Linked DNA regions of Anolis sagrei. The protein of the gene in region 4 interacts with the protein of the main gene of each other region in a pairwise test. Links are inferred from orthologs where the notes say so. Each region holds a gene or a part of one and is shown on either strand. Other genes may lie near its edges. The genes, in order: SORBS3, TACC1, PPP1CB and SH2D4A.

What was found.
Region 1: the proteins of SH2D4A (region 4) and SORBS3 interact in binary tests that used the Homo sapiens proteins (3 or more experiments, as listed by UniProt). The two-hybrid records come from large-scale screens. The link is inferred for Anolis sagrei from reciprocal best matches to the Homo sapiens genes SH2D4A and SORBS3.
Region 2: the proteins of SH2D4A (region 4) and TACC1 interact in binary tests that used the Homo sapiens proteins (3 or more experiments, as listed by UniProt). The two-hybrid records come from large-scale screens. The link is inferred for Anolis sagrei from reciprocal best matches to the Homo sapiens genes SH2D4A and TACC1.
Region 3: the proteins of SH2D4A (region 4) and PPP1CB interact in binary tests that used the Homo sapiens proteins (3 or more experiments, as listed by UniProt). The two-hybrid records come from large-scale screens. The link is inferred for Anolis sagrei from reciprocal best matches to the Homo sapiens genes SH2D4A and PPP1CB.

What each region holds. Positions count from the first base shown.
Region 1 is NC_090027.1:1,016,656-1,024,179, reverse strand, and holds the start of SORBS3 (vinexin), read left to right. Parts: upstream 1-4,523; 5' UTR 4,524-4,606; coding exon 4,607-4,780; intron 4,781-7,524. UniProt on the Homo sapiens protein: Vinexin alpha isoform promotes up-regulation of actin stress fiber formation. Vinexin beta isoform plays a role in cell spreading and enhances the activation of JNK/SAPK in response to EGF stimulation by using its third SH3 domain.
Region 2 is NC_090027.1:2,516,270-2,523,678, reverse strand, and holds the start of TACC1 (transforming acidic coiled-coil-containing protein 1), read right to left. Parts: upstream 3,019-7,409; 5' UTR 2,786-3,018; coding exon 2,613-2,785; intron 1-2,612. UniProt on the Homo sapiens protein: Involved in transcription regulation induced by nuclear receptors, including in T3 thyroid hormone and all-trans retinoic acid pathways. Might promote the nuclear localization of the receptors.
Region 3 is NC_090021.1:42,777,154-42,784,294, forward strand, and holds the start of PPP1CB (serine/threonine-protein phosphatase PP1-beta catalytic subunit), read right to left. Parts: upstream 3,014-7,141; 5' UTR 2,642-3,013; coding exon 2,590-2,641; intron 1-2,589. UniProt on the Homo sapiens protein: Protein phosphatase that associates with over 200 regulatory proteins to form highly specific holoenzymes which dephosphorylate hundreds of biological targets.
Region 4 is NC_090026.1:55,294,562-55,301,657, forward strand, and holds the start of SH2D4A (SH2 domain-containing protein 4A), read left to right. Parts: upstream 1-4,078; 5' UTR 4,079-4,246; intron 4,247-4,327; exon of another isoform or gene 4,328-4,400; intron 4,401-4,495; 5' UTR 4,496-4,557; coding exon 4,558-4,723; intron 4,724-7,096. UniProt on the Homo sapiens protein: Inhibits estrogen-induced cell proliferation by competing with PLCG for binding to ESR1, blocking the effect of estrogen on PLCG and repressing estrogen-induced proliferation. May play a role in T-cell development and function.

The DNA.
Region 1 (7,524 bases), on a different chromosome or scaffold from region 4:
ACCAGGGCTGACCCAGCTTAGCATCCAAGAACACACACGGTCTGGTGCCTTTTGGATATTTTGGTGCCTTGTGTATTTTATCTGTGTCTTATCAGTGCTATCCTGGAAGTACTTTTTGCTCACATAGCTTATGCGTTGGAATCTTCAGGAAATGTTCAAGAACACATTGCTTTGGAATGTGGGATCCCAGGGGACCGCTTCTCGATGCCTCCGGTCACAAACGGCAGGGCTTGGATCCATTTCTGGGCTTCCCATCAGGCCCTTGTCTGGCAGCCAAATGGAGGCATTGCCGTCTCTGATTCCCATGGAAGGAATGATGCGGCCTCAGGAGCACCCCTCTCCAAGGGATGATTAGATAACATGCGCAAAACAGGGGTGTGGCGGCACATTGGGAGCCATGCAGGAAATACGCAGAGAGAATAGAGCTCTGGACACGTCCAGTTCCACATGTTCCCAGCAAAAAGCTTCGGAAATCAAATGGTGGGGAATGAACTTAAACAGGGAAAATCTATCCCTTTTTTTTTTGTCCAAACTGACCTCTAGATCGGAGCTTCCCAAACATTCTTAGGCATGCATCGCAACATGGCGATTCAGTTTTACTTGCAAACCGAGGGTTCAACCAACCCCCTTATATCAGTGTTTCTCAACCATCCTAATACTACAACCCCTTAATATAGTTCCTTAATATGTTGTGGTGACCCAAAAGCATAACATTATTTTTGTTGATACTCCATGACTGCAATTTTGCTCCTGTTATGAATCGTAATGTAAATATGCTGATATGCAGGATGTATTTTCATTCACTGGATCACATTTGGCACAAAGACCCGATATGCCCAATTCTATGATTCTATCCCACAGGTCAAAGGCCACAGGTCCGAACAGGTATCCCCCAGCTTCACCAACTGGGAGTGACTCTCCGGGAAGAAGCGGAGCCACTGCAGTCTACAAAGATAGCCTCCCTCCAATATAGTCAGACTCAAGATGGGGATGTGGCAGGATAAATGGGCCTTTCCATTGCAAAGCTGCCCAAGGGAGCTTCTCACACCAAAAATGATGCCAGGGAGTTAAAGGAGCAAGGCGGAGAAGCAAGCCGTCTTCCCACAGCTGGTGCATTGCCCACAGCAAGGTCACTGCCTGGCCACGTTCCTGTGCCAGCGCAGGGGGTGCATGCCTGTTGTGTCTGGCCTTCCGCTGTGACAATGCAACCCATTTCACATTAATTATTCAGCCCCAAACAAGGCTGTACAGTGTGCTCCGTTGCACAGCTGCATTCCTGCCCGGGCGCATAAGACCGGACGGGGGAGGAGAGGGAGCCAAGGTTTCTGTGTGGGCAACAAACTCATACACTCCTAGAGTTCGAGGAGACCACAAAGTCCGTCCAGTGTGCAACCCTTTCTGCCAGGCAGGAACACACAATCAAAGCAGGCCCAACAGATGGCCATCCAAGCCTACAAAAACTGCACCAGACTCCAAGGTGGAAACTCTGTCAGGAAGTTCTTCTTAATGCAATGTTCCTCATCCTTCCTAATGCCGCGACCCCTTAATACAGTTCCTCACGTTGTGGTGACCCCCAACCAGAACATTCTTCATAAATATGTTTTTGCTGTTGTTATGAATTGTAACGGCGCTCCATGCAGCCATGCCCGCCACATGACCTTGGAGGTGTCTACGGACAACGCTGGCTCTTCGGCTTAGAAATGGAGATGAGCACCACACCCCAGAGTCAGACATGACTGGACTTAATGTCATGGGACAACCTTTACCTACCTATGAATTGTAATGGAGATATCTGATATGCAGGATCAGGCCCGTAGCCAGGATTTTGATTCAGGGGGTGCTGAGTTTGGCCCATTTCTATCATTGGTGGGGTTCACAATGCTCTGTGATTGTAGGTGAACTATAAATCCCAGCAACTACAACTCCCAAATGTCAAGATTCTATTTTCCCAAACCTAAGCAATGTTCACATTTGGGCATATTGAGTATTTGTGCCAACTTTGGTCCAGATCAATCGTTGTTTGAGTCCACAGTGATCTCTGATTGTAGGTGAACTACAACTCCAAAACCAAAGGACTCTGCCCATCAAACCCTTCCAGTATTTTCTCTTGGTCATGGGAGAACTGTGTGCCAAATTTGGTTCAATTCCATCGTTGGTGGGGTTCAGAGTGCTCTTTGATAGTAGGTGAACTATAAATCCCAGCAAACTACAACTCCCAAATGACAAAATCATTTTTTTTAGTGAAGGACATACATTGGGTTGTTAGGTGTCTTGTGTCCAAATTTGGTGTCAATTTACCCAGTGGTTTTTGAGTTCTGTTAATCCCACAAACGAACATTACATTTTAATGTATATACTAGCCGTCCCCTGCCACGCATTGCTGTGGCCCACATGGGGGTTCTGTGTGGGAGGTTTGGCCCAATTCTATCATTGGTGGAGTTCAGAATGCTCTGTGATTGTAGGTGAACTATAAATCCAAGCAACTACAACTCCCAAATGTTAAGATTCTATTCCCCCCAAACTCCACCAGTGTTTACATTTGGGCATATTGAGTATTTGTGTAGAGTTTGGTCCAGATCTCTCATTGTTTGAGTCCACAGTGATGGGAGAACTGTGTGCCAAGTTTGGTTCAATTCCCGCGTTTGTGGGGTTCAATATGCTCTTTGATTGTGGGTGAACTATAAATCCCAGCAACTACAACTCCCATATGACAAAATCCATTTTTTGAGTGATGGTCACTCCTTAGGTTAGTAGGTGTCTTGTATCCAACTTTGGTGTCAATTCGCCCAGTGGTTTTTGAGTTCTGTTAATCCCACAAACGAACATTACATTTTTATTTATAGACTAGCCATCCCCTGCCACGAGTTGCTGTGGCCCAGTCTGTGTATATATGTTTTGGGTGTGTGTATATGTGTGTATAAGGTAAAGGTAAAGGTAGTCCCCTGACATTAAGTCCAGTCATGTCTGACTCTGGGACTCTGGTGCTCATCTCCATTTCTAAGCCGAAGAGCCAGCGCTGTCCGTAGACACCTCCAAGGTCATGTGGCCATTGGCATGACTGCATGGAGCGCCGTTACCTTCCCGCCGGAGCGGTACCTATTGATCTACTCACATTTGCATGTTTTCGAACTGCTAGGTTGGCAGAAGCTAGGGCTGACAGCAGAAGCTCACGCCACTCCCTGGTATCGAACCTGTGACCTTTCGATCAACAAGCTCAGCAGCTCAGTGCTTTAACCCACTGCGCCACCGGGGGCTCCATATGTGTGTATATATTTGTGTATATGTGTGTTTGCGTATATATATGTGTGTGTGTGTGTGTGTATGTGTGTGTGTGTGGTTTTGTGCATGCATTGTAATGTATTTTTTCAGTGTTTTTCTGAGTGATGGTCACTCGTTGGCCTGAGAGGTGCCTTGTGTCCAAATTTGGTGTCAATTCGCCCAGTGGTTTTTGAGTTACGTAAGTCCCACAAACGAACATTACATTTTTATTTATAGACTAGCCGTCCCCTGCCATGAGTTGCTGTGGCCCAGTCTGTGTATATGTGTTTTGGGTGTGTATATATGTGTGTATATATTTGTGTATATGTGTGTTTGCGTGTGTGTGTGTGTGTGTGTGTGTGTGTGTATATATATATATATATATATATATATATATATATATATATATGTGGTTTTGTGCATGCATTGTAATGTATTTTTCAGTGTTTTAGGAGTGATGGTCACTCGTTGGCCTGAGAGGGGTCTTGTGTCCTAATTTGGTGTCAATTCGCCCAGTGGTTTTTGAGTTACGTCAATCCCACAAACGAACATTACATTTTTATTTATAGACTAGCCGTCCCCTGCCACGAGTTGCTGTGGCCCAGTCTGTGTATATGTGTTTTGGGTGTGTATATATGTGTGTATATATTTGTGTATATGTGTGTTTGCGTGTGTGTGTGTATATATATATATATATATATATATATATATATATATATATATGGTTTTATGCATGCATTGTAATGTATTTTTTCAGTGTTTTTCTGAGTGATGGTCACTCGTTGGCCTGAGAGGTGCCTTGTGTCCTAATTTGGTGTCAATTCGCCCGGTGGTTTTTGAGTTACGTCAATCCCACAAACGAACCTTACATTTTTAGGTTCTTGTGGGTTTTTTCGGGCTATAGAGCCATGTTCTAGAGGCATTTCTCCTGACGTTTCGCCTGCATCTATGGCAAGCATCCTCAGAGGTAGTCAGGTCTCTGAGGATGCTTGCCATAGATGCAGGCGAAACGTCAGGAGAAAAATTGCCTCCAGAACATGGCTCTATAGCCCGAAAAAACCCACAAGAACCTAGTGATTCCAGCCATGAAAGCCTTCGACAAGACATTAAATGTTTATTTATAGATATGGAGTTACACTTAGAAAATGTACCTGTTCCGACTTACATACAAATTCACCCGAGGAACAAACCTACAGAACCTATCTTGTTCATAACTTGGGGACTGTATTAAAGCCACCCTCTCCTTTTGTTACCCACCCAGGGCATCTCGTCTAGTGAGCGTCATCCTCGTCTTGGTCCTGGAGGCCCTCTCTCCTCCTCCTCCTCCTCCTCCTCCATCGCAGCAGAGATGCCCAGCCTCATCTCTAGGGCCGGGGCCCCCGAGGCCAACCTGGGACTCAGCCTGGACGACTTCATCCCTTCGCACCTCCAGAGGAGCTCCCCGTTTGCCCACAGCTCCAGCCTGATATCTCCTCAGGCCACATCTACTCCGCAAGGCAGTCAAGTCCCTTCGCGACGCAGGGTGAGTTTTGGGGAACTTGCCACACAAACATTTCAGAGAAACAGAGTCGTTTGTTTCCCAAGGGTTCGTCTACACTGCAAAAGTAATGCAGTTTGAACCCACTTAAACATGTTATGGAATCCTGGGGGTTGTGCTGGTGCTTCACCAAACTACAACTCCCAGGATCCCACAGCATTGACTGTGTAGACATGGGCAAACTTGGGCCCTCCAGGTGTTTTGGACTTCAACTCCCACAATTCCTAACTTACTTACTTAGGCGATCCCTTATAGTCCGAGGATGATGGTCCTCCAAGGTAGGTGTTCTGGTTGTGGGCCCATAGGTGACTGTGGAGCCCAATTCTTGATCTGCATCTTCTCCCACAGTGAGGGCATTGGTTTCCAGATGGAAGGCCAGTGGTTCTCAACCTGGGGTCCCCAGATGTTTTTGGCCTACAACTCCCAGAAATCCTAACAGCTGGTAAACTAGCTGGGATTTCTGGGAGTTGTAAGCCAAAAACATCTAGGGACCCCAGGTTGAGAACCACTGCGGTAGGCGGTCCTGGTCAGGGTTGGTTTGATACGCCTTCCTCTTGGCATGTTTCTCTCTTTCACCCTCCATTCGTGCCTCTTCAAATTCTGCAGCACTGCTGGTCACAGCTGAACTCCAGCTGGAGTGATCAAGGGGCAAAGATATCCCAGTTCTCAGTGTCTGTGCCAGGGTTTTTAAAGTTGGCTTTGAGCCTATCTTTCAATCTCTTTTCCTGCCCACCAACATCTGTTTTCCGTTCTTGAGTTCAGAGTAGAGCAACGGCTTTGGGAGACGGTGGTGGGGCATCCGGATGATGTGGCCAGTCCAGCAGAGTCGATGGCAGAGGAGCATCACTTCAATGCTGGTGGTCTTTGCTTCTTCCAGCATGCTGATATTGTCCGCTTGTCTTCCCAAGAGATTTGCAGGATTTTCCGGAGGCAGCGCTGATGGAATCGTTCCAGGAGTTGCATGTGACGTCTGTAGACAGTCCATGTTTCGCAGGCATAGAGCAGGGTTGGGAGGGGAATGGCATCTTGGTCTCCCTACAGATGTCCCGGTCCTCAAACACTCTCTGCTTCATTCGGGAAAATGCTGCACTCGCAGAGCTCAGGCGGTGTTGTATTTTGGTGTCGATATTGACTTTGGTGGAGAGGTGGCTGCCAAGGGAGCAGAATGGTCCACATTTTCTAATGTTACACTATTAAGCTGCATTTCTGGCATTGGAGAGGGTTGGCTGGTGACTTTTGCTGGAAGAACACATTGGTTTTCTCGATGTTTAATGACAGGCCGAGCTTCTCATATGCTTCTGCGAAGGTGTTTAGAGTGGCTTGTAGGTCTTCTTCTGAATGCGCACAGACGATGTTGTCATCAGCATACTGGAGTTCTATGTAGTTGTAATTTTAGTTTTTGCTTTCAGTCTGCTGAGATTAAACAGCTTGCCATCTGTCTGATAGATGGATTGTTGTAGGTTTTTTTGGGCTATATGGCCATGTTCTAGAGGCATTCCTCTAGAGAATGCCTCTAGAACATGGCCATATAGTCCAAAAAAACCTACAACCCAGTGATTCTGGCATGAAAGCCTTCAACAATACATTGTCCAATAGATGATTTCCACTCCAGTGGGAAGCTTCCCATCAACAAGATGAAGTATCATAGCGATGAAGATGGAGAATAAGGTTGGGGCAATAACACATCATCCCTGTTTGACACCCGATTCCACCTTAAATGGGTCACTTTGGGAGCCATTGCTGTCCAAGACTGTTGCCATCATGTCATCATGGAGGAGCCGCAGGATTTTCACAAATTTTTTAGGGAACCCAATTTTTTGGAGGCCCAGAGAGCGCTGTTAGGAATTGTGGGAGTTGGAGTCCAAAATACCCAGAGGGCGCATGTTTGCTCATACCTGATGTAGATTGTGCCGTTGCGCCTGGGGGCTCTTATTCTCAATAAAGGAGGGATGGACGTGGCACCTTTCCCCCAGGGGATTGTTTCTTGCCCTCCTATAGGAAACTGGAACTCCCAAAAACCCAAAACGCTGTAAATAGCTCAAAATAAGTTTTATTTATCACAAAGTCATTTCTTTAAAGCAATGAGCTGGAAAACTTTAGAGGGGTGAAGGAAAACATATATTACAGTCTCAATCAGTCCTGGGTCCAAGGGGTTTGAAGCTGAGAAGCCTCTCCAAGTTTCCTCTTTCCTCAATGGCTGTGAATGCTGGGGCAAACCACAACCCCAGTTCAGATGGCCTATGTTTTGAAGATTCGGGATCTTCCTTTGGTGCCAAAAGAACCGACTTGAAGGCGCCTGGGTCTCCTCAATAATTGTCCAGGATGATCTGGACATAAAGCATGAGTCCCAGGGGTAAAAAACCTCAGAACTGATGCTAAGAGGTAACTTAAATCAGGGTCCTTTAGAATCAAGTCTTTTACTCATGTCCATCTGGTACGAACTCTGATGGCAGAATGAAGAAGAAAAAGGAAGTTCTCCCCTCTTGCAGGAAGAGGTGGAGCCAAACAGTACTGATTGACAGCTACAAGCAACCAATCCATACAACTATACATAAGCAGTGTTAAAAAGGGGCAGGATTAAGCATGATACAACAGTTTAAGTCTTACAACTAACAGTTCTATACATAGGTGGTGCCACTCGCACCGTCACAAGATGCATTCATAGTCTGCAATCCATACTCGCCAATCTGCGACAAAAATTGCAATGTTTTGTGCTGTGTCCCATTGTG
Region 2 (7,409 bases), on a different chromosome or scaffold from region 4:
GCCGCATTCATTCTCCAATGGAGTTGCACACAATACCTCCCCAAACTCATTAAACTACAACTCCCAGGAGCAGCAGGCCTTAATGCTATGTGATTATGGGAGTTGTAGTTTAATGTGTGATTGTGTGCATCTCCATTATAGAATGAATTATTATTATAATAAATAAACATAATAATAATAATAATTCATTCTACAATGGAGATGCACTCAATTTCTCATTAAACTACAACTCCCATATCCCATAGCATTGAGCCAAGGCTATTCAATGGAGCATTGAACTGAATTCATTCTATAGTAGAGATATAAACAATACTTCCCCAAACTACAACTGCCATAGCATTGAACCAGGATAATTCAAGTGTAGTCGATCGGCATTCATTCTCCAATGCAGATGCACAAATACCTCCCAAAACTACAACTCCCATAGTATTGAGCCAGGGCAGTTTAAAGGGGGATTAAACTGAGTTCATTCTCCAAAGGAGATGCACACAATACCTCCCAAAACTACAACTGTCAGGCTCAAATAGCATTGAAGAGACACACAATACCTCCCAAAAAACTACAACTCCCATACCACTGACCCAGGGCAGTTTAAAGGGGGATTAAACTGAGTTCATTCTCCAATGGAGATGCACACAATACCCCCCAAAACTACAACTGTCAGGCTCAAATAGCATTGAAGACACACACAATACCTCCCAAACTACAACTCCCACAGCATTGAGCCAAGACAATTCAAGTAGAGTCGATCTGCATTGATTCTCCAATGGATATGCACACAATACCTCCCCAAACTAGAACTTCTGGGATCAAATGGCATTGAACACACACAATACCTCCCAAAACTACAACTCCCATAGCATTGAGCCAGGGTAATTTCAAAGGGGGATCAAACTGAATTCATTCTCCAATGGAGATGCACACAATACCTCCCAAAACTACAACTGTCAGGCTCATATAGCATTGAAGACACACACAATACCTCCTCAAAAAACTACAACTCACATAGTACTGAGCCAGGGCAATGCAAGTTGAGTCTAGCTGCATTTATTCTCCTATGGAGATGCCCCCAATCTCTCCTGAAAAACTCAATGGAGATGCACCCAAGGGGGACCCCAAAGGAGCATTCCTTCTGCACCCAGCCTCTCACTAAACTACAACTCCCAAGGACCAAATAGCATTCCAGAGGAGCCCATCCATTCTCCGGTATAGGGATGCGCCTTGAGCCTGCTTGCAAGCTGGAGCACACCCATTAGGATGTTGTTGTTGTTCCTCCTCTTCGACTGACACGCGAGTGTACACGCGTCACGTGTGAGCGCGCTCTCCTCCTCTTTGGCTGACACGCGAGTGTACACACATCACGTATGAGCGCGTTCTCCTCCTCCTCCTTGGCTGACACGCGAGTGTACATGTGTCACATGTGAGTGCGCCTCTCCTCCCCCTCCTTGGCTGACACGCGAGTGTACACGTGTCACGTGTGAGCGCGTTCTCCTCCCCCTCCTCAGCTGACACGTAAGTGTACACACGTCATGTGTGAGCGTGCCCTCCTCCTCCTCCTTGGCTGACACGCGAGTGTACATGCGTCATGTGTGAGCTCGCTGTCCTCCTCCTCCTTGTCTGACATATGAGTGTACACGTGTCATGTGTGAGCGTGCTCTCCTCCTCCTCCTTGGCTGACACGTGAGTGTACACGCATCACGTGTGAGCGCGCTCTCCTCCTCCTCCTTGGCTGTCACGCGAGTGTACACGCGTCACGTGTGAGCGCGCTCTCCTCCTCCTCCTTGGCTGACACGTGAGTGTACACGCGTCACGTGTGAGCGCACTCTCTTCCTCCTCCTTGGCTGACACGCGAGTGTACACGTGTCACGTGTGAGCATGCTCTCCTCCCCCTCCTTGGCTGACATGTGAGTGTGCACGCGTCATGTGTGAGTGCGCTCTCCTCCTCCTCCTTGGCTGACACGTGAGTGTACACGCGTCACGTGTGAGCGCACTCTCCTCCTCCTCCTTGGCTGACACGCGAGTGTACACGTGTCACGTGTGAGCATGCTCTCCTCCCCCTCCATGACTGACACGCGAGTGTACACACGTCACGTGTGAGCGCTCTCTCCTCCCCCTCCCTTGGCTGACACGCGAGTATACACGCGTCATGTGTGAGCGCTCTCTCCTCCTCCTCCTTGGCTGACACGCGAGTGTGCACGCGTCACGTGTGAGCGCGCTCTCCTCCTCCTCCTCGGCTGACACGCGAGTGTACACGCGTCACGTGTGAGCGCACTCTCCTCCTCCTCCTTGGCTGACACGCGAGTGTACACGCGTCACGTGTGAGCGTGCTCTCCTCCCCCTCCTTGGCTGACACGCGAGTGTGCATGAGTCACGTGTGAGCGCGCCCTCCTCCTCTTCCTTGGCTGACACGCGTCACGTGTGAGCGTGCTCTCCTCCCCCTCCTTGGCTGACACGCGAGTGTGCACGCGTCACGTGTGAGCGCACTCTCCTCCTCCTCCTTGGCTGACACGCGAGTGTACACGCGTCACGTGTGAGCGCGCCTCTCCTCCCCCTCCTTGGCTGACACGCGAGTGTACACGCGTCACGTGTGAGCGCGCTGACGCGGGACTTGCCTGAGGCTGAGCGAGCGGGTCTCTCCTTGAGCCTCTTCTTCTTCCTCTTCCTCCTCTTCCTCGGGTCCGGACCCCCCTCCCCCTGCGGCCCCCCCTCCTCCTCGGACGGCGGACCAGGTCCACTTGGCCCACTGGACCGGCGAGAGGAGCTGCCAGGAGGCGCTGAACGCCATCGGGGCCACACGGCGTCAAAATGGAGCGGATCCGGCGCGGATGTGGTTCAGCCCAGCGCCATCCTTCCTCCTCCTCCTCCTCCTCCTCCTCCTCTGACTCCGCCTCGCAAGGCAAGACAGGCAGGGACCCTCTGACGGATGCCCAAGGAGCCGGCCTGCCTCGGTCCCGCCTCCTCCGAACCCGCCTTTCGCCCGCCCAGCCCGCATTCACACGTTACGTCGCCCAACGCGTGCAAGCAGCCAGGCAGCGGGGGCGGGGCCCGCTGCGTCAAAACGCTCCCCCCCCCTCCCGCCCCGGAGCAGAGAGGAAAGGCAGGCCCTGATTGGCCGGGAGGGAGGGGCCCCCTTCAGACGTGAGGTGGCCCCCCGACACGTGACTCACTCCCAGGCTGCATTTGACACCCTGGCAGGAATGGACTTCCACGCTACTGGAACTGCCATTCTTCAATGGAAATACACCTTCTAATTGCATGGCTCTGGGGTATGGAGTCCTGGGAGTTGTAGTTTCACAAGGTCTGGTGGGTCCTCCTTGCAAACACTATAGCTCCCAGGATTCCATAGCACTGAGCCATGCAAATACAGGGTGTATCTACACACCACAGTAACTTCTATGAAATCCTGGGAGTTGTAGTTTCACAAGGTCTGGTGGGTCCTCCTTGCAAACACTATAGCTCCCGGGATTCCATAGCACTGAGCCATGCAAATATAGGGTGTATCTACACACCACAGTAACTTCTATGAAATCCTGGGAGTTGTAGTTTCACAAGGTCTGGTGGGTCCTCCTTGCAAACACTATAGCTCCCAGGATTCCATAGCACTGAGCCATGCAAATATAGGGTGTATCTACACACCACAGTGACTTCTATGAAATCCTGGGAGTTGTAGTTTCACAAGGTCTGGTGGGTCCTCCTTGCAAACACTATAGCTCCCAGGATTCCATAGCACTGAGCCATGCAAATATAGGGTGTAACTACACACCACAGTAACTTCTATGAAATCCTGGGAGTTGTAGTTTCACAAGGTCTGGTGGGTCCTCCTTGCAAACACTATAGCTCCCAGGATTCCATTGCACTGAGCCATGCAAATAGAGGGTGTATCTACACACCACCGCAACTGCTATGAAATCCTGGGAGTTGTAGTTTCACAAGGTCTGGTGGGTCCTCCTTGCAAACACTATAGCTCCCAGGATTCCATAGCACTGAGCCATGCAAATATAGGGTGTATCTACACACCACAGTAACTTCTATGAAATCCTGGGAGTTGTAGTTTCACACGGTCTGGTGGGTCCTCCTTGCAAACACTATAGCTCCCAGGATTCCATAGCACTGAGCCATGCAAATATAGGGTGTATCTACACACCACAGTAACTTCTATGAAATCCTGGGAGTTGTAGTTTCACAAGGTCTGGTGGGTCCTCCTTGCAAACACTATAGCTCCCAGGATTCCATTGCACTGAGCCATGCAAATATAGGGTGTATCTACACACCACAGTGACTTCTATGAAATCCTGGGAGTTGTAGTTTCACAAGGTCTGGTGGGTCCTCCTTGCAAACACTATAGCTCCCAGGATTCCATAGCACTGAGCCATGCAAATATAGGGTGTATCTACACACCACAGTGACTTCTATGAAATCCTGGGAGTTGTAGTTTCACAAGGTCTGGTGGGTCCTCCTTGCAAACACTATAGCTCCCAGGATTCCATAGCACTGAGCCATGCAAATATAGGGTGTATCTACACACCACCGCAACTGCTATGAAATCCTGGGAGTTGTAGTTTCACAAGGTCTGGTGGGTCCTCCTTGCAAACACTATAGCTCCCAGGATTCCATAGCACTGAGCCATGCAAATATAGGGTATATCTACAGACCACCGCAACTGCTATGAAATCCTGGGAGTTGTCGTTTCACAAGGTCTGGGGGGGTCTTTGCTAATTAGTGCCCGAGCCTCGACAAACTACAGCTCCCATAGCATGGAGCCATGGAAATATTGGGAATCTTATCTACATTGAAGGATACCACTGTAACTTCTCTAGCATCCTGGGAGTTGTAGTTTCACAAGGTCTGGAGTCTTCTTTGCAAACATAGCACTGAGCCATGCAAATATAGGGTGTCTCTACACACCACCACGACTGCTATGAAATCCTGGGAGTTGTAGTTTGACATGGTATGGTGGGTCTTCTTTGCTAATTAGTGCTGGAGCCTCGACAAACTACAGCTCCCATAGCATGGAGCCATGCAAACATTGGGAATCTACCTACATTGAAGGATATCACTATAACTTCTATGGCATCCTGGGAGTTGCAGTTTCACAAGGTCTGGTGGGTCTTCTTTGCTAATAAGTACTGGAGCCTCGACAAACTACAGCTCCCATAGCATGGAGCCATGCAAGCATTTGGAGTTTATTTACATTGAAAGACACCACTATAACAACTATGGGAGTTGTAGTTTCACAAGGTCTGGAGTCTTCTTTGCCACCACTATAGCTCCCAGGATTCCATAGCACTGAGCCATGCAAATATAGGGTGTCTCTACACACTGCCGCAACTGCTATGAAATCCTGGGAGTTGTAGTTTGACAAGGTCTAGGCAGGTCTTCTTTGCTAATTAGTGTTGGAGCCTCGACAAACTACAACTCCCATAGCATGGAGCCATGCAACTATTGGGAGTTTATCTACATTGAAGGATATCACTGTAACTTCTCTGGCATCCTGGGAGTTGTAGTTTCACATGGACTGGAGTCTTCTTTGCCACCACTATAGCTCCCAGGATTCCATAGCACTGAGCCATGCAAATATAGGGTATATCTACACGCCACAGCAATTGCTATGAAATCCTGGGAGTTGTAGTTTGACAAGGTCTAGGGGGTCTCTTCTTTGCTAATTATTGCTCGAGCCTCGACAAACTACAGCTCCCATAGCATGGAGCCATGCAAACATTGGGAGATTATCTACATTAAAAGACACCACTATAACAACTATGGAGTCATGGGAGTTGTAGTTTCACAAGGTCTGGGTCTGGAAGCAAAAAGCAAAGGAAGGAAGGAAAGAGGTAGAGAAGCAAGGAGAGAAAGAGGGAGGGAAGAAGGAAAGACAGAAGGAAGGATGGAAGCAAAAAGCGAAGGAAGGAAGGAAACAGGTAGAGAAGCAAGGAGAGAAAGGGAAGGAAAAGAAAAAAGGGGGAAGGAAAGAGATAGAGGAGGAAGGAAGGAGAGAAGGAAAGAAGAAAAAGGAAGGAAAGAGAGAGCGAAGAAAGAAGGGAAAGAAGAAGAGAGGGAGGGAAGGAAAGATGGAAGGATGGAAGCAAAAAGCGAAGGAAGGAAGAAAAGAGATAGAGAAGGAAGCAAGGAGAGAAAGGGAAGGAAAAGAAAAAGGGGGAAGGAAAGAGGTAGAGAAGGAAGGAAGGAGAGAAGGAAAGAAGAAAAGGGGAGGAAAGAGAGCGAAGAAAGAAAAGAAAGGAGAGAAAGAGGGAGGGAGGGAAGGAAAGAAGGAAAGACAGGATGGAAGCAAAAAGTGAAGGAAGGAAGGAAGGAAGGAAGGAAAGAGATAGAGAAGGAAGGAGAGAAGGAAAGAAGAAAAGGGGAGGAAAGAGAGAGCGAAGAAAGGAGAGAAAGGAGAGAAAGAGGGAGGGAAGGAAAGACAGAAGGAAGGATGGAAGCAAAAAGCGAAGAAAGGAAAAAAAGAGGTAGAGAAGGAAGCAAGGAGAGAAAGGGAAGGAAAAGAAAAAGGGGGAAGGAAAGAGATAGAGGAAGGAAGGAGAGAAGGAAAGAAGAAAAGGGAAGGAAAGAGAGTGAAGAAAGAAGGAAAAGAAGGAGAGAAAGAGGGAAGGAAAGATGGAAGGATGGAAGCAAAAAGTGAAGGAAGGAAAAAAAGAGGTAGAGAAGGAAGCAAGGAGAGAAAGGGAAGGAAAAGAAAAAGGGGGAAGGAAAGAGATAGAGGAGGAAGGAAGGAGAGAAGGAAAGAAGAAAAGGGAAGGAAAGAGAGTGAAGAAAGAAGGAAAAGAAGGAGAGAAAGAGGGAAGGAAAGACGGAAGGATGGAAGCAAAAAGTGAAGGAAGGAAAAAAAGAGGTAGAGAAGGAAGCAAGGAGAGAAAGGGAAGGAAAAGAAAAAGGGGGAAGGAAAGAGATAGAGGAGGAAGGAAGGAGAGAAGGAAAGAAGAAAAGGGAAGGAAAGAGAGTGAAGAAAGAAGGAAAAGAAGGAGAGAAAGAGGGAAGGAAAGACGGAAGGATGGAAGCAAAAAGTGAAGGAAGGAAAAAAAGAGGTAGAGAAGGAAGCAAGGAGAGAAAGGGAAGGAAAAGAAAAAGGGGGAAGGAAAGAGATAGAGGAGGAAGGAAGGAGAGAAGGAAAGAAGAAAAGGGAAGGAAAGAGAGTGAAGAAAGAAGGAAAAGAAGGAGAGAAAGAGGGAAGGAAAGACGGAAGGATGGAAGCAAAAAGTGAAGGAAGGAAAAAAAGAGGTAGAGAAGGAAGCAAGGAGAGAAAGGGAAGGAAAAGAAAAAGGGGGAAGGAAAGAGATAGAGGAGGAAGGAAGGAGAGAAGGAAAGAAGAAAAGGGAAGGAAAGAGAGAGCGAAGAAAGAAGGGAAAGAAGGAGAGAAAGAGCGAGGGAAGGTTGGCCACAGCAACGTGTGTCGT
Region 3 (7,141 bases), on a different chromosome or scaffold from region 4:
CCCAGTGTCTATGTAACATCAACTAATTTCATACAAAGGGCCCTTCCAGATGGGTCCTTTAGTTGTGATTTGAAGGCAACTAGTTTTAACTACAGGTGGTCTGAGTTTTAAAACTGTTTTATTTTATTTTATGTGTTAATAGTGGTTGTTTTATGACTTTACGTGATATTATTTTTATGCTCATGTACTGTTTATAACAACAACATCATCATAAACAACAATTTATTTATACCCCGCCACCATCTCCCGAATGGGGACTCAGGGTGGCTAACATGAGGCCAAGCACTACAAATACAACAAATCAAAATAAAATACATACAGTAAATAATGTCAAATGAAATATAAACAAAACAAATTAATACAAAATCAAATACATGAAATGAAATGAAATAAAATAATAAAAATCTGCATGTTATATATTCCACTTGTAGTGCCTCGTAAGCTGCCCAAAGGCCCTTTTGGGAGATGGTGGCGGGATATAAATAAAATTTATTATTATATGATACAGAAGATTAGTACACAGAGAACAAGAGCACTATGCTAGCTTTTGTATTTGATTACACGTCAGACACTTCTCAAATGTCTAGGGCTGTGTGATGTATCGGCGAATAACGCGTGCAGATCCAAGTAGGGTGGCCTTTTGCAGCTGACAGATGGTAATTTTGTCAGTGCCAATTGTTTTTAAGTGCAGGCCGAGGTCTTCAGGCACTGTGCTGACCACCACTGGGACCACCTTTGTTATTATTATTATTATTATTATTGTATCCCAGGGTCTGAATCTGGGTTTTCTGTTTATCCCAGATTATCTGGCAGTGCAGACTCATATAATAGTTTAAATCCTGGGATATAAGGCCAGTCTTAGAGTTCTTCCACACAGCCCTATATCCCAGAACATCAAGGCAGAAAAATTATCTCTCTCCCCAAGGACATCAGACAAGCCCCAACGCTGGCAGTCTTTAGGAAGAGCTTGAAGACCTGGCTGTTCCAGTGTGCCTTTCCAGAATAGGAAACTCCCGGCATTATGTCCCAAATGCACCTTGTCAGAGATTTAGGATTGTCTGCACATTGCACTTACCTCCAAAAACCTCTACATATCACCTGTTCAAGTCCAGCACTTTTAAATTTTGTCTATTACATTAGGTTTTTAATGCGTTATGGTGTTATTGTTTTTAGTGTTTTATTGTTTGCTTGATGTTTATTAGTTGCTTTATGAGTTTCACTGTTGTATTTGTATGCTGTTGTTTTGTTGGTGGCCTTGGCCTTTGTAAGCCGCATCGAGTCCTTCGGGAGATTTTGTGGGGTATAAATAAAGTTAATAATAATATCTGAGTGTGGACTCAGATAACCCAGGGTTTTTTTGGTCGTGTCAGGAGAGACTTGGGAATCTTCAAGTCGCTTCTGGTGTGAGAGAATTGGCTGTCTGCAAGGACGTTGCCCAGGGGACGCCTGGATGATTTGATGTTTTTATCATCCTTGTGGGAGGCTTCTCTCATGGCCCCGCACGAGGAGCTGGAGCTGATAGAGAGAGCTCATCCGCCTCTCCCTGGATTCAAGCCTGCGACCTGTCAGTCTTCAGTCCTGCCGGCACAGGGGTTCCTCGGCTGTGGAACGCCCTTCCCATGGACATTAGATCAGCCCCTTCGTTAATGGTGTTTCGAAGAAAACTAAAAACCTGGCTGTTCGAACAGGCGTTCGGTTAAACAATGCAATGTACACGATGAATATAGGAAACGGAATTATGGAAGACGAATTGGATCACGATTCTAGTTACGAGACGTTAATGTGTTGTTATTGATATGTCATTTTGTTTATTATGCTGTTAATGGTTTTAAAATTTTGTATGCTGCTGGATTGACTTTTGCTCTTGTTGTAAACCGCGTTGAGTCGCCTACAAGGCTGAGAAATTGCGGTATACAAGCAAAGTAAATTAACCCACTGTGCCACTGGGGGCTCCTCAGATAACCCAGTTCAAAACTTTTGAGATAACCCAGTTCAAAACAGATATTGTGGGATTTTCTGCCTTGACATTCTGGGATATAGCGCTGTGTGAAGGGTCCTAAGGTAACTCACTCTATATCTGCAAGTATTCCAAAACAAGATCTTTTTTAATGTAAATTTTGGTCCAGCAAATTTAGGCCAAGGGGATATTCGACCTGTATAAACTTTATGTGCGTAAGGTGTTTATGTACAATAAACTTATTCTTCCCTTCCTCATGATATGTCATTCTGTATATGCAAATATTCCAAAATCAATTTATAAAAAATACTTCTGAGCCCTGAGCATTTAGGGTAAGGGATCTTCAATCAGTATAAGGTGTTTCCCCCCATTTACAACAGCGTCAATCTCCTACAACTACCTCCTCTTTGGCTGAAACCGGAGTCAAAGCAGAGGCCGCCTCGCAGGAGACGTTTGAGGCGAGAAACTACCGAAAAAGGGAATAACTTCGCCCCTCGCCGGGGAATAACCGACACAAACCCGCAATACGCAGGGGCAAATGCGACTGCCGCCTTCCCCTCTGTTTGAGGGACCCCTCTTGGGCCTCCCTCCCTCCAAAGCTCTTTCATTCACTCCCTCAGTCAGTCACTCACCTTCCAGCAGCCTGGTGATGAGACTATCCACATTCAGCTCCCCGTCCGCCATTTTGTAGCCAATGGACTCCTCAGTCGCGGGCGGGGACGGAAGGAAGGAAGGAAGGGAAGAAGGAGGGCGCCTCAGCGAAGACAAGGAAGGAAGGAGGCGGGGAAGGCGGCCGCTCCCTGCAAGGACCCCTCCCGCCCCGGGATCTCCCACCGGCTCCGCCAAACAGGGAGGAGGGAGAGAGAGAGAGAGAGAGAGAGAGGGAGAAGAAGACGACGAGGTCCCCGCTCTCCTCCTCCTCCTCCTTCTCCTCCCCGCCTGCCTTAGGCCTCGCTGCGCATGCGCCTCGGAGTCCTTCCCTCTTTCGCCTCTCAACTGCGCGGGAGAATCTCGGGTTCGACTCCAAAAAGACCAAGCCTCCCTTTCCCCCTCCTTTCCCTTCCCCCTCCCTTTTGTAAAGCAGCACTGCGCATGCGCGAGAGCGGTGCTGTGTTGTGCTTACTCCCCAAGCGATCCGTGAGCGGTGCGCATGCGTGACGCTTCGAGTCCTGTCCTCTGCTTCTCTTCCCCCCCCCCCCTCTTTTCTTGTGTATCCTGGTAACCGAGGTCTTGGGGCCTAGTCGGGTTTAATAAAGGTGCAGGCCAAGCGTGTTTTATGCGGCAAATAGAATCATAGAATCAAAGAGTTGGAAGAGACCTCATGGGCCATCCAGTCCAACCCCCTGCCAAGAAGCAGGAATATTGCATTTAAATCACCCCTGACAGATGGCCATCCAGCCTCTGTTTAAAAGCTTCCAAAGAAGGAGCCTCCACCACACTCCGGGGCAGAGAGTTCCACTGCTGAACGGCTCTCACAGTCAGGAAGTTCTTCCTCATGTTCAGATGGAATCTCCTCTCTTGTAGTTTGAAGCCGTTGTTCCGCATCCTAGTCTCCAGGGAAGCAGAAAACAAGCTTGCTCCCTCCTCCCTGTGGCTTCCTCAAGAGAGGAGATTCCATCTGAACATGAGGAAGAACTTCCTGACTGTGAGAGCCATTCAGCAGTGGAACTCTCTGCCCCGGAGTGTGGTGGAGGCTCCTTCTTTGGAAGCTTTTAAACAGGCTGGATGGCCATCTGTCAGGGGTGATTTGAATGCAATATTTCTGCTTTTTGGCAGGGGTTGGACTGGATGGCCCATGAGGTCTCTTCCAACTCTTTGATTCTATGATTCGCCTGATGTTTCCCCGGCATCTATGGCAGGCATCCTCAGATGGAAACTAGGAAAGTGGGGATGCTGGCGAAACGTCAGGAGAGAATGCTTCTGGAACATGGCCATGCAGCCCTGAAAACTCACAGCAACCAAGTGATTCTGGGCATTAAAGTCTTCGACAATTCATGGCCCCTTTAATGGCCCCTTCCACACAGCTGTATAAAATCCACATTGAGATGGATTATATGACAGTGTAGACTCATGGCTCTTTCCACACATCTGGACACAATCCACACCTGAATACAATCCACACTGAGCTGGATTATATGGCAGTGTGGACTCATAGGCCACTTCCACACAGCTTTAAAAAAACCCCCATTGAAGGCTATTAGGAATGGTGGGAGCTGAAGTCCAAAACACCTGGAGGGCCAAAGTTTGCCCATGTCCGGTGTGGACTCATAGGCCCCTTCCACACAACACTGCAACCCAGCTTTTGCACTTTCTTCTTTCACCTTAGTTATAAGGTTTCTCAACTCCTCCTCGCTTTCAGCTATGCATTATCCAAAAAAGTAAGGGGAGGAAATATTATTTTGTATGACATTTAAAGAAAAAGCACACAACACTTTTTTTATCAGAGAAATTAGAGGCAGTTGCTCTGGAAAGCTAATTCAATTTGAATTAAAATAGGATTATATCCTTTTAAGTACAGCAACAAATCTATTTTCTCTCAGAAGAAAAACAAGCACTGTGTGCACTCTGCACTTTGGGAAGGAATATTACAGCATGTTTAAAGATGATTGCCTCATATTATGAGAAAGCCGGAAAGTTCACCTTATTCGAACTGAAAGAGCCCTCTAGTCTAACCCCAAATATGGGGGAGTACAACTGCTAAGGAACTCCTATTTAAAGACTTCCAAAGATGGAGAGTCTGTCATCCTCAACAGTTAGTATAATTTAATACTTAGTAAAATCAAAGGTGTCCTTTTTCACTCCAGGCAGCACCTCTCACAATGAAGTCCTCATCCCTAATATCAATATTTATGAGATTCCTTGGTTGTTGAAATATCAGTCTGTATATACTCATCTCCAATATGAAAGGCTGGTTGAGCAAAAGAAGTGTTAGAGGAAACAAATTGCTCTGGAAGAAGAAAGAAAGAAATGTTATGCAGGAACCTTCATTATGTGAAACAAGGGGATTTTGAATTAATAAGAGAGATCTGGGATGCTAGCAAACAAACAATTTCTTTTCAAGTTCCCTGCTTAACACCAAATGAGCAATATACTAAATGGTTCGGATGGTTGATCAGGGATTTAAGTATATAGGGCAGTGGTTCCCAATCTCTTTTTGATCAGGAGCCACTTTGATCAGGGATCACTCTCCAACATTAGTACCAAAAGGGTTACGAATTGGTTTTTGGTCAACTTTAGATTTGGTTTAGCTATTTGGAGTGCTGATTCAGAAAATTGCATTGGATAGACCACATCAACTCTAGTTTCTGATACATAACATATGCCATCCAGTAGTTGCCATCTGCTCGCCCACAGAAAACCATATTTAATAATCTAGAGCTGATGTGGTAGTAGTAATCTTTCGTGGATAGTCAGCCACTCCCCTCCCAACATCCCCGTTGCCTCGGCACTATAAGAGTGTTTTGTGAGACCAGTCGTTCTCGTTGCCACGTGATTTTGAGGCAATGGTGTAGTAATGGTGAGACCGCGGACCATATTTTCATTCTTGCAGACCACTGGTGGTCCACGGACCACAGGTTGGGAACTACTGGTATAGGGTAAGCATTGGCCAAGATTCTTAAGGACACGACTAGTGAAACAATGTGAAGTATATGATCAGATTAGATTTCCCTCTCGTTTTTTATTATTTATTTATGATAATACTGCTACGACGGTTGTACAGGCAGTCCCCAAATTACAAACATCCCTGGGGTGAGGCAACAGGAAGTGAGAATAAATCTTCCTTCAGGGAGGAAAATCAATTCCTGGAAGAGTTATCATGTGAAAAAAGTATCTCCATTCTTATCACCAATCCTTGTTTCCACGACAACCCAAATTTTTCAAAATCGAAAAAGGGATAAAAAGTGAGGTGAAATCTACTAAATAGGGGCACAGACAGCAAAACAAATGTTAGAGGGTGTTAATCCTTCCTTATACTATCCTAAATTTTAAAAAACCAATTTGGGATAGCATTACATTTGAAAAAATTACCCATTCTGGCTTACATACAAATCCCTACTTAAGAATAACCTACAGATTCTATCTTATTTGTAACCTGGGGTTTCCCTGTAATGTCGGAGGATTTCCCCTTTCCCCCATACATTCCTCTATACATAACAATCTTAATCATAAACTTTTCCCCCTCCCTTTCCACAACTGTGCTTTTGTGATCATAGTTTTTCCTATATCTCTTTTCCTCGTCTGCTTTCATCTTACATCATCACACTTATTTTTTCTTTTACGAAAAGGAAGTACTAAAACAGTTTCTTTCACCACTAGAAAATGTATGATTGTATCAAGGGTGTGGCACCTATCCAGATTTTTTCCACTGTCTGTATAGCTGCATAATAAATATTTGTCACTAACTTTTTGAGCACAAGGGTTTTGTGGTTTATTGTTAACTGCTGTGAAGTCAACCTCACCTTATGGCAACCTTCTGAATGAGAGACCTCCAAATCACCGTTTTCAACAGGCCTGCAGACTCAGAGCCAAGTCTTCCTCGACTGTGTTTATCCACCTGTAATGCTATCTTCTTCTGTTTCTACTGCCTTCTAACTTAGCAAATATTACTGCATTTTCTCATGAGTTGTATCATCTCGTGATATGGACAAAGTATGGCATTCTCAGTTTAGTCAGCTGAAGGACACATTTATTTGTCTTTTGAGAAGCCCAGGATGTTCACAGAACTCTTCCAACATCACATTTCAATGAGTTCATTATCTTCCTATCAGCTTACTTCACTTTTACAATCATGCATAGAAACTGGAAATATGATGGTGTGGACAATACTAATGTTAGTACGCAATAATACATCTTGACATTTCAAGATCTTATCTAGTTCCTTCATAGCTACTAGGCTTAATTTTAAAAAATGGTTCAAAACTCATTTCGGATGTAGGGGGTGCTGGTGGTTCAATTCTAAAGTCAATTCCGATTTTCACAGAAAAAGATGTTCAAAACTTTTCAAAAAACTTCCGAGACTTCCAAATTCATCCTTAATGGTTTGAAAGTGTTATTTCCTGTTTCATTGGGTGGTCTTTACTTTGAAAGTAGTTGTTTTACTCCAGAAGGGGGGGGGGGGGAGAAGCAAAGGGAGGAAATTCATCCACTCTGGTTTAAAACACTTTGCAGGCTCAGTGAGGGGGG
Region 4 (7,096 bases):
TTTGGCTTTCTTAATTGGAGTAAACATTCTGTATTCAGGGGCTACCTTTTGCTCTGAAGTCAAACTAAATGAAGTCAAACAAGACAGAGGCACTCCTGGTCAGTTGTAAGGCCGAACAGGGCATAGGGTTACAGCCTGTGTTGGATGGGGTTACACTCCCTCTGAAGATGCAGGTTCACAGTCTGGGTGTGATCCTGGATTCATCGCTGAGCCTGGAACCCCAAGTTTTGGCAGTGACCAGGGGAGCATTCGCCCAGCTAAATCTTGTGCACTAGCTGTGCCCATACCTTTGGAAGCCTAACTTGGCTCTGGTTACATCTCGTATAGACTACTGTAATGCACTCTACGTGGGGTTGCCTTTGAAGACTGTCCAGAAGCTTCAAATAGTCCAATGGATGGCAGCCAGAATGCTAACAGGAGCGGCCCTCAGGGAGCATACAACTCCTATGCTGCACCAGCTCCACTGGCTGCCAGTCTGCTACTAGGCACAATTCAAAGTGCTGGCTTTAGTCTATAAAGCCCTAAATGGTTCTGGCCTGACTTACTTGTCTGAATGCATCTCCCCTTATGAACCATCTGGGCCTTAGATTCTAGGACTTTGAGATCGTCTGGGGAGGCCCTGCTCTCAATCCCGGCTTCATCACAAGTATGTTTGGCGGGGACGAGAGACAGGGCCTTCTCTGTGGTGGCCCCTCGGCTATGGAACACCCTCCCTAAGGAGATTAGATTGGCTCCCTCACTCTTAACATTTCGGAGACAAGTTAAGACATGGTTATATGAGCAAGCGTTTACAAATGCAGGGTAACTGATATAGGAAATGGAATCACTTGACAACGGATTTTGGACAACGTTTTTAACTAGGAGACACTAATGATCAAGGGTCTGGAGAACAAGCCCTATGAGGAGCGGCTTAAGGAGCTGGGCATGTTTAGCCTGAAGAAGAGATGGCTGAGAGGAGATATGATAGCCATGTATAAATATGTGAGAAGAAGCCACAGGGACGAGCAAGCTTGTTTTCTGCTTCCCTGGAGACTAGGACGCGAAACAACGGCTTCAAACTACACGAAAGGAGATTCCATCTGAACATGAGGAAGAACTTTCTGACTGTGAGAGCCGTTCAGCAGTGGAACTCTCTGCCCTGGAGTGTGGTGGAGGCTCCTTCTTTGGAAGCTTTTAAACAGAGGATGGATGGCCATCTGTCAGGGATGATTTGAATGCAATATTCCTGCTTCCTGGCAAGGGGTTGGACTGGATGGCCCATGAGATCTCTTCCAACTCTTTGATTCTATGATTCTATGGTGTTGGTTTTATTGTTTTTATTGTGATTTCATATTGTTCAATGCTTAATCGGTATTTTGCTATTATGTGTACTGACTTGTTGTAAACTGCTTTGAGTCGCCGATAGGCTGAGAAAGGCGATATACAAGTATAGTTAGTAAATAAATAAGTAATAAACTTTATTTATACCCCGCCACCATCTCGCCAATGGGGACTCAGAGCCGTTTACATGGGGCCAAGCCCGAATGACAAATTACAGCAAAATAAAACCAAAACATAAACAACAAGCAACATCATCAAAATTGCATTAAAAAAAGATATGAGTACAGTAACAAAATAACATTATAATAAACATAATCGCAGTAACAGTGGGTAGGTCACATGTACAGGATAAAATGTTAAAAAACTCTAATGAGATAAAAATAGGAGCAAGTTATTTGCAGGGAGCTCAAAAAGAAACACAGGGTTGTGAAACTAAACTTCCCATTTGGGGGAGGGGGCATGTACTCTAGTGACAGAAGCATTGAGGGGAGCAATAGGGTCATGTTGCACCTACTCACCAAAGGCGCAGCGGAAGAGCCAGGTTTTAAGGTTCTTTTTAAACGTTTCTAGTGTAGGGGCTTTCCTGATCTCTCCAGGTAATGAGTTCCAGAGTCAGGGGGCCACAGAGGAGAAGGCTCTTTCCCTCACTACGGTGAGGTGGATCAGTAATTGGTTAAATGGACAAACCCAGAAGGTGCTCACCAATGTTTCCTCTTCATCCTGGAAAGAAGTGACGAGTGGAGTGCCGCAGGGTTCCGTCCTGGGCCCGGTCCTGTTCAACATCTTTATTAATGACTTAGATGAAGGGCTAGAAGGCAGGTTCATTAAGTTTGCAGATGACACCAAATTGGGAGGGATTGCCAATACTCCAGAGGACAGGAGCAGGATTCAAAACGATCTTGACAGATTAGAGAGATGGGCCAAAACTAACAAAATGAAGTTCAACAGTGACAAATGCAAGATACTCCATTTTGGCAGGAAAAACGAAATGCAAAGATACAGAATGGGGGACGATGCCTGGCTCGAGAGCAGTACGTGTCAAAAAGATCTTGGAGTCCTTGTGGACAACAAGTTAAACATGAGCCAACAATGTGATGTGGGGGCAAAAAAAGCCAATGGGGTTTTGGCCTGCATCAATAGGAGCATAGTGTCTAGATCAGGGGTCCTCAAACTAAGGCCTGGGGGCCGGATACAGCCCTCCAAGGTCATTTACCCGGCCCTCGCTCAGGGTCAACCTAACTCTGAAACGATTTGAAAGCACACAACAACAACAACAACAACAACAACAATCCTATTTCATCAGCCAAAAGCAGACTCACACTTCCCACTGAAATACTATTAAGTTTACATTTGTTAAAATTGTTATTCATTTTAATTATTGTATTGTCTTGTTAAGGGTTTTTTTGCAATACATATAAGATATGTGTAGTGTGCATAGGAATTAATTCATGTTTTTTTTTTTCAAATTATAATCCGGCCCTCCAACAGTTTGAGGGCCCATGACCTGGCCCTCTGTTTAAAAAGTTTGAGGACCCCTGGTCTAGATCTAGGGAAGTAATGCTACCCCTCTATTCCGCTTTGGTTAGACCACACCTGGAATATTGTGTCCAATTCTGGGCACCACAATTCAAGAGAGATATTGACAAGCTGGAATGTGTCCAGAGGAGGGCGACTAAAATGATCAAGGGTCTGGAGAATAAGCCCTATGAAGAGCGGCTTAAGGAGCTGGGCATGTTTAGCCTGAAGAAGAGAAGGCTGAGAGGAGATATGATAGCCATGTATAAATATGTGAGAGTAAGCCACAGGGAGGAGGGAGCAAGCTTGTTTTCTGCTGCCCTGGAGACTAGGACGCGAAACAATGGCTTCAAACTACAAGAGAGGAGATTCCATCTGAACATGAGGAAGAACTTCCTGACTGACAGCCGTTCAGCAGTGGAACTCTCTGTCACGAAGTGTGGTGGAGGCTCCTTCTTTGGAAGCTTTTAAACAGAGGCTGGATGGCCATCTGTCAGGGGTGATTTGAATGCAACATTCCTGCTTCTTGGCAGGGGGTTGGACTGGATAGCCCATGAGGTCTCTTCCAACTCTTTGATTTTATGATTCTATGAAACTAAACTTCCCATGAGGCAGTGACAGAAGTGTTGAGGGGAGCAATAGTGTCATGTTGTCCACCTACTCGCCAAAGGCGCAGCGGAAGAGCCAGGTTTTAAGGTTCTTTTTAAACGTTTCTAGTGTAGGGGCTTTCCTGATCTCTCCAGGTAATGACTTCCCGAGTCGGGGGGCCACAGAGGAGAAGGCTCTTTTCCTTGTGCCCACAAGACGGGCTTGTGAAATTGGCAGGGGCGAAAGGAGGGCCTCCCCGAAGATCGAAATAAATAAACATCAATGCAATGAACCTGTCCGTTTAAAAATGTAAATAGCAGTTGTGTGTGTGCAGAGGGGGAAGCATCAAAGCAGCCTTTACACCACACTATTGATCCGATCAGAACCTCATTCCCACCCAGTTCTGCTATTTTCACCCTTATTCATGCTGGGAACTCTGGTGTGTATTTCCGTTCACGCAGAAGATAAATTATATCTCACTCCTTGACACTGGTGTTTACTGACATTGGCCCTATCACTTTTTCTGTGGGCGTTTGGCACCGGCCAGAACTTTACTTTCTTAAGATTTGTGAGACAGGAAAGGGTTAGGGTTCACCTCTTTACAAGCCATCCCTTCACTTCCTGGTCTCATAACAGAACGGCTTGCTGAGTCAGAGAGGTAAGCCACACCTGTGACTTTAGCAGCCAGTGCTTAAAAGCAGAGGGGACTTCCACGAGGCATCAGATCTGAACACTCCTCTCTGGTCCTCGTTGCGGCTGCTTTATATTCATTACCTTGAACAAACGCCCTGCTTATTCCAGGACACAAGGGCTCGGTTTTGGTGTAAGTGTTGCCAAGTCTTCCTTTTCTTTGTGTTCTTTGAGCTCTTTGTTTACTTTGTCAGTCCTTGCAGGAAATCCAAGAGCTAAAAGTAGGTTGCAGTCGCCGTGAGAGTAATTGCGATGTGGAGAGCCTGCATTCCTGCTGTATCTTAAGGGTGGGGAGAGATTTTTGTCTCCCCTTTGGCCACTGATGTGTTTCTGCTGGAAAGGCGGCAGAGAAAGTGACTTCTTCCTTCTCTTCTCTCCTCAGATCAGCCTTCTCTTCTTCTTGCTCCTACTCCTTCCTCTCTGTGAGAAGCTTCTTCTACAACCATGCTGAAGCAAATCCTGGCCGACATGTATGTGGACCCAGAGCTGCTGGCAGAGCTCAGTGAAGAGCAAAAGCAGATCTTGTTCTTCAAGATGAGGCAGGAGCAGATCCGAAAGTGGAAGGAAAGAGAAGATGTGGCCACTGTGCCGAAACCAGTGCGGAAGGCAGGTCAGTGTGTGAGCCCAGGAGGAAAATGGGATTATCTAGCCTGGCTTCAGAAGGAGTAAAGAAGGCTGAGAGGGGACATGATAGCCGTGTTTTAATATCTGGAAGGATGTCACATTGAGGAAGTTGCATACTCGTTTTCTTTTGTTTTGGGGATTAGGATGCGGATCAACGGATTCAAATTCAAATTGCAGGGGAAAAGATCATAATAATAATCTCTCCGTTCTTGTGGGTTTTTTCGGGCTATATGGCCATGTTCTAGAGCAGTGGTTCTTAACCTTCCTAATGCCGCGACCCCTTAGTACAGGTTCCCACGTTGTGGTGACCCCCAACCATAATGTCATTTTCATTGCTACTTCTTTAATTTTGCTACTGTTGTGAATCGTAATATAAATATCTGATATGCAGGATATATTTTCATTCACTGGACCAAATTTGGCACAAATACCCGAAACGCCCCAATTTGAATACTGGTGGGGTTGGAGGGGATTGATTTTGTCATTTGGGAATGTTGGAATTGCTGGGATTTATAGTTCACCTAAAATCAAAGAGCCTTCTCAACTCCATCAATGATGGAATTGAATCAAATTTGGCACACAGAATTCCCATGGCCAAGAGAAATACTGGGAGAGTCTGGTGGACACTGACCTTGAGTTTTTGGAGTTGTAGTTCACCTATATCCATATCACACTGTGGACTCAAACAGTGATGGATCTGGATCAAACTTGGCACAATATACCCAAATGTGAACACTGGTAGAGTTTGGATAAAATAGACCTTGCCATTTGGGAGTTGTAGCTGCTGGGATTCATAGTTCACCCACAATGAAATAGCATTCTGAACCCCACCAATGATAGAATTGGACCAAACTTCCCATGCAGAACACCCATGACAAAGAGAAAATGTTTCCTGATGGTCTTTGGTGACCCCTCTGACACCCCCTCGCGACCCCCACAGGGGTCCCGACCCCCAGGTTGAGAACCACTGTTTTAGAGGCATTTCTCCTGACGTTTCGCCTGCATCTATGGCAAGCATCCTCAGATAATATAATAATAATAATAATAATAATAATAATAATAATAATAATAAACTATTTAAAAACAGCAATATCAGAGATCAAAAGCCCGTCGAAACAGATATGTCTTCCATGCCCTGCGGAAAGTTGATGTCCCGCAAGGCTCGGACTTCAGGTGGCAGAGTATTCCAGAGTGATGGTGCCACTGCTGTAAAGGCTCTGCGTCTGGTTGCTGTTAGACGCAAGGTCTTGACACGGAATTTCCAATAAATCTTGGTCCTCAGAACGGAGGGATCTCTGGGGTTGGTAGGGGGTGAGGCGGTCCCTCAGGTACATCGGCCCTAGATGTAGGGCCTTAAAGGTGAGTACCATCACTTTGAAAATATAATTCATACACACAGAGATATAGTATTATAATAATAATAATAATAATAATAATAATAATAATAATAACAACAACAACAACAACACTTTATTTGTACCCTGCTACCATCTCCCCAATGGACTCGGTGCGGCTTACATGAGGCCGAGCCCAAACACAACAATACAAGCAATAATAACAACAATACAAGCAATTAAAAAAACATAGACAATAAAATACACAACATTATCAATAAAACAACACATAATTAAAAACAGTGGGAAGGCCAAATGTAGAGTTAAAATTGGAAATAATGCTGGGACATGAACGAAAGGTGATACTGGTGTTTGTGGAAGGGCATACGAGCAGACTTAAAGATATGTAAAGTGCTATGGGATCATTATTCCGGGAAGGCACACTGGAACAGCCACATCTTCAAGCTCCTCCTGAAGACTGCCAGAGTTGGAGCCTGTCTGATGTCTTTAGGGAGTGAGTTGCAGAGTCGAGGGGCCACCACCGAAAAGGCCCTCTCTCTCCTCCTCACCAATCGCGCCTGCGATGCTGGTGGGATCGAGAGCAGGGCCTCTCCGGATGATCAAAGGGATCGTGTGGGTTCGTATACAGAGATGCGGTCACGCAGGTAGGCGGGTCCTAAACCGTTCAGGGCTTTGTAGGTAAGAACCTGCACCTTGAATTGGGTCCAGTAGATGAATGGCAGCCAGTGGAGCTCCTTGATTCCATCTACACTTTAGGAAGAACTTCCTGCCAGTAGTGGAATATACAATAATAATAATAATAATAATAATAATAATAAAACTTTATTTATATACCGCTTCATCTCCTTGAGGGGACTCAGAGTGGTTCCCAGGTAACATCACAAAACATACAAAGTAAAAACAACATAACCATAAGTGGGTTGTTGTAGGTTTTTTCGGGCTATATGGCCATGGTCTAGAGGCATTCTCTCCTGATGTTTCGCCTGCATCTATGGCAAGCATCC